Linked DNA regions of Caenorhabditis elegans. The protein of the gene in region 1 purifies or fractionates together with the protein of each later gene. This does not show direct contact. Each region holds a gene or a part of one and is shown on either strand. Other genes may lie near its edges.

Evidence for each region.
Region 2: the proteins of memo-1 (region 1) and spp-5 fractionate together in Caenorhabditis elegans (co-fractionation; one large-scale study listed by BioGRID). This does not show direct contact.

Annotation. Positions count from the first base shown.
Region 1 is NC_003283.11:7,843,831-7,849,114, reverse strand, and holds memo-1 (Protein memo-1 homolog), read left to right. Parts: upstream 1-2,121; intron 2,122-2,501; 5' UTR 2,502-2,578; coding exon 2,579-2,632; intron 2,633-2,946; coding exon 2,947-3,020; intron 3,021-3,371; coding exon 3,372-3,539; intron 3,540-3,585; coding exon 3,586-3,654; intron 3,655-3,706; coding exon 3,707-3,819; intron 3,820-3,868; coding exon 3,869-4,377; intron 4,378-4,430; coding exon 4,431-4,496; downstream 4,497-5,284. Other genes in the region: grd-8 (Ground-like domain-containing protein), read right to left, coding at 4,816-5,076, 5,200-5,284. UniProt on the Caenorhabditis elegans protein: Plays a role in the oxidative stress response and the maintenance of longevity by regulating the interaction between GTPase rho-1 and oxidase bli-3. In turn, this serves to modulate bli-3 activity and the control of reactive oxygen species production.
Region 2 is NC_003284.9:7,319,145-7,322,179, reverse strand, and holds spp-5 (Saposin B-type domain-containing protein), read left to right. Parts: upstream 1-1,825; 5' UTR 1,826-1,826; coding exon 1,827-1,979; intron 1,980-2,027; coding exon 2,028-2,186; 3' UTR 2,187-2,243; downstream 2,244-3,035. Other genes in the region: T08A9.13 (uncharacterized protein), read left to right, coding at 1-181.

The DNA.
Region 1 (5,284 bases):
GAATTATTTTTGTAGAACAAGCGTCCCTTTCTCGTACCTGTTAGTTACAATAGTCATTTTGGCGTGATCTTCGGTGTTTTGTTTATCGATACAGTGCGAATTCAAAATGCAAATATTCCCGATTTTTATCCAGAACAAAAAATAAGTCACTGGCTGATTTTTCGTTGCCTTTTGCATTAAGGAGTACTGTAGTTTCCAGATCCGTCGTTGGTCGTTTTATAGTAAATAAGTTTTTCAATAAATTTTGAGAAAACAAGAGAAAAGCTATTGAAATCAAAATTAAAAATTTCTATGTAGTTCTACCACAACAAGGATGCTCTAGTTGGGAACTTTAGTGCTCGTTGAGACGCACACTCGTTTGCTTTTGATAAATCGATCCTGTCGAAACCCAACACAGTATTTTCTGAGAAAAATATACATATTGCATCTGGGTACAACTTGGTCCAGAAAAGTTACAATGTAATTGTTTTTCTATTTTCCCACGATCACTTTACATTTTCCGTTCCCTTACATAAATTTTCACCTATAAAAATGAACAAACATGGATCGACCGAACTGACGACCCGGGGCGGAGAGCGGGCAAAGCGAGGAAGAGAGTGAGAGCGTTTTGTGAGCGAGCGTCAGGCCAGGCAGTCAGCTGAGTGTCTCTGCCTCCCCACTCACGTTCGATTTCTCGTGTACTTCTTGCCCGTGACCCGTTGTGAGATGTCTCACGTTTTAGTCTTTTTTATCTTGTTTAATTGCCCCATTTCACTTTCAAGTACTCATTTATTACTTTTTTCGTTTTTTGGATAGTTATTTTTCCAAAATTAATTTTTGATTGAAAATATAAAGAATCTACATTCTAATTTAATCAAACAATTTTCTTCATAATTGTTTTTGAACCCCGTGAAAAATGTATAAAGATTCAAAGTCAAATCAAAGATATAGGCGTATTGCGTGACCAAACATTTTCTCGTTTTCCCTTCCCAGCAGCCACCGAGTGAGTGTTTTTCTACCACAGCAATGTGAGCGAATGTGAGCGTCAAAAGAGAGTGTCTTTTTCTCTTTTTTTTGCATTTTCGTCTAAAAGTAGAAACGAAGATAAATGAAAGGGCTGAATGAGGGCTGGATGGACCCGATGACCGCTGAAAAGTGCATTGTTCAGAACTGGAATATGGGAATATTTCGGGGGAAAAAGTATTAGGCAACGAGAAAAACAATCATTCGTGTCTAAATACCTGCCGTAGGTGTAAACAAGACGGAATGGAAGATGGATGATACGAAGTAAATATTGACTCCGTGGTTTACATTTTCAGCTGAAAATACTTACGGCTCTTAGAAATAGGCTTGATACGCATAGATTTTATACCGAAAAATGTTCAGTGTACCAGGAAAATTTAGACAATTTCTTTCAGAAAACTTTGCAAAGCTTATTATTAGTTACAATTGTTATAAAATGAAGAATGCCAAAAATCAAGTTTTATATTGAAAGTCAAATAGGCATGAGGCAGGTATGTAGGCATGAAACTTTGCCTGCCTATAATGGAAGACATAAACGAGTGAACACGAAATAAAGTAGTGAACACGAAATTTTAAAAAAAAAAAGGCAGATTTTCTACAAACCTACCACTTTTTCCATTCTTGGAACTCCCCTTCTTGGCCCTCTTCCAATATTCAAGTGCGAAAAAGACTGAAACAGTGGCCCCTCTAGTGTCAAATGTCTGCCGATTCCATTGTTCTCGTTCTATTTCACTGCCTCCCCTATTGTGTTCTTTCTCCCATCACCCAATACTCTCTTTTTAGTCTTCTTTTTCTTCTAAATACTATCGGCTGGTGTTGTAGAAGAGCGTCTTTCCTTTCATTCTTTTGGCATGCATCCTCATCCCTCTTCATTATTATTATTATGATTATTATATGGCATTGCTTCAGGCAGCCAGTTTCACATCACAAAAAGTGTCAAATTTTCAGGTAATTGGTAGACTGAAGACTACTCGCGGCGGTCCGACAAGACGACGACGACCAGCACAAGATCAGCGCGGTCCTCTTCAATACCATCCACGTCGAGACACGTCGAACGCGAAACAGTCAAACTGTTTGACAGAACCCTCAAATCACTCCCTTCACACATTCTTTTTACGGGTAATTTCAGACATTTTTGGGTGGAATGCAAAGTTTTAAAACGTTTTTCTTATGATTATTTGTATGGGTAGCTTTTTGAAAGAAGCCTCTAAAAAATTTCAGGCGCGCTCTGACGGAAACTTGACGGCGATGTTTAATATTCAAAGTTTCTCTACGTCTCCCGAGTTTAAAAATTTTATATTCTTGGTCTTGATGCGCAGTTTGGATTGGAGCCTACATTTCGTTTTTGAAAAGTGTATTTTAAAACAGGCCCACAATCATGATTATCTTGATTGTTTAATTTTAGTCACGAGACCATCTCAATTTTTGAATAACGGTGACCTTTTGTCAAAAGAAAATTTCAAAGGATTCCACAATCTATTTCAATTTCGTCTTTTTAGACCGAATCTTCTTTGAACAATTATGCGTTCAGCAAAAATGAAAATTGGCTGCGAACACGAACAAGATTCGTCTGACCATGTCCACGTGGCGGGCTTCACTCGGGAACACAATTTTGGTTTTTTGTCTCAAGGTTCTGAAACTTTCGAAAAAAAGCACACACTTTGCAAAATGCTTTTTTTTTGAAAAAAAAACCAAAATCAGCATTTTTGGATTTTCACTTTTTTCTCAAAATTTTCCTTCGTTTTTTTTTTGGAAAGAAATCAGTTTTCAAAACTGAAATTCAATGAAAAAAAAAACACTTTTTTGTTGCATCAACATTTTCGGATTGCCACATTTTGCTCTAAATTGTTCTTGATTTTTTTTGGACAAAAAATGTTTTCAGAATAGATAATAGTTTAAAATTCAGTTCAAAAAACAAAATAGAAGCAAATCCTGTTGTTGCAGGTATTTCAAAACTCTCGTGCTCTATTTCTCAGGACATTTGGCCTTCCTTTTGCAAGATATCTGAATTTTATTTTGTAAGTGTTTCTCGGAAATTATTCAGAATGAAAAACCAGATTCCCATTTCTATTTCGGACATAAACCAAATTAAAAATTTATTTTCTTTCGAGCCAGTTCCCCGGACTTGATTCGAATTCGTGAAGTAGAGCTAGCCCGATGGCTCATATTTTTAGAACATCTTGAATTAAGTGTGATGTTACACTGTATTGTGAATTTTAATATTAATTAATTAAAATTATTTGAATATTTAAATTCAAACTTTTCCATTTTTCAATGTTGACTATTTGGGAAACACACAGTAGTTGAAAACCCTACTAAACATATTAATCAAGTCGTATACAACAATTTATCAAAACTTTAATATTCAGACCATCTGAATTTAAAATGTCACTAAACGGATTCGGCGAGCACACGAGATCTGCCTCACATGCCGGATCATGGTACAACGCCAACCAGCGAGATCTTGATCGGCAACTCACAAAATGGCTTGACAACGCCGGTCCACGGATTGGAACGGCTCGAGCGTTGATTTCACCGTAATACTCTAAATGCATTTAATATTTATTTTCTGATAACTTTCAGACATGCGGGATATTCGTATTGTGGAGAAACAGCTGCATATGCTTTCAAACAAGTTGTTTCATCAGCAGTGTGAGTTGTTGAAATTTGTACTTGGCAACAGGGCTTACTCAATAACTTTCAGTGAAAGAGTCTTCATTCTTGGCCCATCTCACGTTGTTGCTCTAAATGGATGTGCTATAACCACATGCAGCAAGTACAGAACTCCACTCGGCGACTTGATCGTTGATCACAAAAGTAATCTATTGCACTCTTAGTACATCTTTTACAACATTGCCCTTTGCAGTTAACGAGGAGCTTCGTGCCACTCGTCATTTCGATTTGATGGATCGCCGAGATGAAGAATCAGAGCATAGTATTGAAATGCAACTCCCATTTATTGCAAAGGTTATGGGTTCAAAACGTTACACCATTGTTCCGGTACTTGTTGGATCTTTACCAGGATCTAGGCAGCAAACGTATGGAAATATTTTTGCTCATTACATGGAGGATCCAAGAAACTTGTTTGTGATCTCTTCGGACTTTTGCCATTGGGGAGAACGCTTCAGCTTTTCTCCGTACGATCGTCATAGTTCTATTCCGATTTATGAGCAGATAACCAATATGGATAAGCAGGGAATGAGCGCAATTGAGACGCTTAATCCGGCAGCTTTTAATGACTACCTCAAAAAGACCCAGAACACGATTTGTGGGCGTAATCCGATATTGATAATGCTGCAAGCAGCCGAACATTTCCGGATCAGTAACAATCACACTCACGAGTTTAGATTCTTGCATTACACACAATCAAACAAGGTAGAGATTCAGAATTGCTTAATATTTTTCAATCAACAATAAATCCATTTCAGGTTCGATCATCGGTCGATTCTTCTGTTTCTTATGCTTCAGGAGTTCTATTTGTACATCCAAACTGACATCCCGCCAGTCCTTCACTCTTTTTTCTACGTATTTTCTTTTGCAACTACTGTCTTCTTCCTGAATTGTTGTGTAATATGTGTAAATTGAAAATCTGTTTATAGGCTCTTTTCTCCTTCTATTCAGGATTCGAGCACAGTTAATTGTGTTACTTCATCAACTTTTCACCTCCACCTAAATTTTCGAATTTTCTCCCATTCCGATTGAAAACTTTCGAACTATTCAAATGATATTTCCAACTTTATTGTGATTGGCAAATAAACAATTAATTCACATTTCAGCTTTAATATACAGAAATCTTTAAAGCTAGACCCTCCATTATTTAATGGGACCGTAGACAATGTAGGTGGGCTTGGTACCATTGACACCATCCAAATCCTTATCAGCAGCTCCCGAGAAGAATGAGCTAGCATCGACAATGTTCACCTCTTGCTCGGCGATTGGAGTTGCGTACGCTAGTATGAATTTCCCATCGATTTCTATTTTACAGTTCAGGTCACCGGCAAAATTAATTTTTGCGACGAAGTCCGAATGAGCAGCGACTGATTCGAAAGTTGTTCCGAATTTTTTTTCGGCTTGCTGAAATTTGGTGGATATTTTAAGCTTATTCAAGTTGTAATTCAAGTCGTAATTCAAGTTGTAAGCTTATTCAATTCTAGGGAAGAGCACATTACATTATAAAATGAAATCCATAAACCCCACCGCTTGCACTGCAGTTGCCATTTTCTGTACATTGCACAGTGATGCACCATCTGCTTTTGCGGCCAGGTACGCGTCTTCCATAGTT
Region 2 (3,035 bases), on another chromosome or scaffold:
TCTTGACCAATACGATGTACTGAAAAAAATCCCAACATTGACGGAACAAGAACGGAAAGAAAACGAGACGCTCACCAAAAAGAAAATAGCTAAAGCCATTATTGCTGCACAAAAAGCTTCTCAAGCTGTGATGGATGCACGTGTAATTATGGGAGCCAAAGGCGAGGAACTGACAAAGTGAAAATAATTGATTTGTCTGTTAAAATTTCTAAATTATTGAAATTTTATAATTAATAGGTCTCAATCTGATGCAGTCTTTCCATATGAACATTGTTGCATTGTCTTAATTCTGACATGGTCTTGGTACATTGTCTGTCCAACATTTCAAAGCAAAATATCATTATTTGGGAAAATCTTTAAAAGCATTTATATGTTGTTAAAATGACCCAATATCAAAACGCAAAACGTTAGAAAAAAATTATCTATGAGCAGTTAGTTCGATGATATTGGTTGAAAACTCAGTTAAATATGACTATACTTTTGTAAGTCGGCCAAAACATGTTTTTTTGAATTTTCGCCAATTTTTAACCATGTTTTAAATAGTTGTCATTGACCAATATAGAAATTTTAAACCTGCTGCATCGCTTCCATTTTTTTTTCAAAAAATTTACTTAAAAAAGGCCAGTTACCAAAACTTCGATTGAAAATTTTGAATTCCCTATTCACAATGGGAGATCAGAAGCAAAGACAAGGAAATGAAAAATTATATCAACACTTTTCCCATAGGGAGTGAATTAATTTTGACTCTTAAAGCTAGACAATGTGCGAATATTTTGAATGTTACCACATGATAAGTTTTTTGTTAGAGTTATGCGATATTGAGTCATAAATCGGTTATAATATCATACAAAGGATCTTAGGTTTCTAGGGAAGTTAATAGAAACAGTCTATGCGGGAAAATCTGAAACGGAATGAATAACCTCACGTTCAAAGATATAGTTGCAAAAAAATATTAAATGTTGTTTCAAACCGCTCCGAATACAAATGCCACAAGTCCTTTCATAATTTTCAGAAACAATAAAGTTTTATCTAAAACTAATCCATTGCCTCGAACCTCTCGGTAAATCTAGTGGACACTATTTTGTTAAACAACTTTTACTTACTATGAATCTAAACTTATTTGATGACTATTTTTGCAGTCTTACAAAATTGAATAAGTTGAACAACATTATTTTTCCAGATGAACATCAGAGCGGAATAAAACACTGAAACGTTGTGGAAACTAAATACTACCGCCGAAACAGTAATATATTTCTGGAAAAAAATAAACACCTACTTCTCTTACTTTGTGGTATTTTTACTCGAAAACAGTTATATATTCAAAATATAGTTTCATTAATTTTTTAAATTCATGTTTATGTCGTGGCGTGGCAATAATACTAAATGTTTATATTAACTTGAAAGTTCGCAAAAAATTGATCATAAACGAGTTTATATTTGTACATTACCTACTCGTTCTATCCAAAGAAAGTTTAAATATATTTACAAATAACAACGTAAGTTGACGTTATTCTAAATGTCATACATCTGGATCGTTAAAAAACAGTTATCATGCATTGCAACATAGTATAAATGTTTAGTACATTCCTGCAAGCCGGACAATTTTCCTATTTATCACGAGTTTAATGCATATGTTGTCGATCTGTAACCTTTTTTCTATTCCATACATTATGCTCTCCGCTTTCGACGCTGCTTCTTATCAAATGGTCAAGTAATCAAAATTGGGAAGTTTTTGCTATAAATGCGCCCCTATCACCGCGTGCTCTTTCAATTCTTCCTTGCGTTTTGATGCTTCAGTGTTTCATTTCAATTTATTTTATTACAGAATGAAGACTCTTCTTGTACTAGCCGTTTTGGTCGCCGTTGCCTCAGGACTTGCCATCCCAGAAAATAGAAGCGCATTGAGCTGTCAAATGTGTGAGTTGGTTGTCAAGAAATACGAAGGATCCGCCGATAAGGATGCCAATGTCATCAAGAAGGTAATAAATCCGTGCTAGAAAAAAACCAACAACTCTTGAATATTCTAGGATTTCGATGCTGAATGCAAGAAGCTTTTCCACACCATCCCATTCGGAACCAGAGAATGCGATCATTACGTCAACAGCAAGGTAGACCCAATCATTCACGAGCTGGAAGGAGGAACCGCTCCAAAGGATGTGTGCACCAAGCTTAACGAATGCCCATAAACGGATCATTGAAATTTTTACTTGTTTGAAACTTTTACCAATAAATTTTCGATTTTTAAAAGTTTCAACCAGAATTTTGATAAATATAGAATAATTGTGACCAGAAATGTATTGGACCTTATTTTTTAGAAAGGGCCTCAAGTCTAATAACGAATCATAATAGTACTGATAAGGACTGTAATCCAAAAAGCTTCAATCCAGGAGAGTGGGGAACAATTGAAAAAATGTGTATCATTATGATTTTAGAGTTTGGAACTTGCCCGGTCTGCACACCATGTACACGTGACTGTTATTGCTTGAAACGCTGAAAGCTCGTTGCAAGCTTTTCTTGAGTTTCTAGAATTATCTTGAAGCTTGAAAGCTTTTCGCGCACAATTATTGATTGAACAGCGAAAAATGAGTACACTTTTTTCAAAACCTTTGATACTTTTTTGACACATTAGGAGTTTGGTTTGATAAGTTTTCTTTGTGAAATTGTCCTGCCCTGGACACCTAATTTTTACAGATAACAACATACAATTTCAGGGAAGTGCCGCGTCTTGATGATTTGCAATATATAATACCTGTAACTTTTTCACAATTATCGAAACTGTGATCACGTGAAATCACATAATATTCCGTTTATCTACGGATACAACAGAAAATTAAGTTCAATAGATCAAAAAGTCATCGAATTCCTTCAAAAAGACAGAGGGAGTCTGAAAAAAATTTGTTTAATGTAGGAAGTCGTATGCATAATACATTTGTTCACGTAATTGAGCAGAAAATAATTTATGTTTTTTTCCGTAATTCAAAACTAGTCACAAATCACACGGGTTTACACTAACGTGAATTTTTAATTTTTGTTTT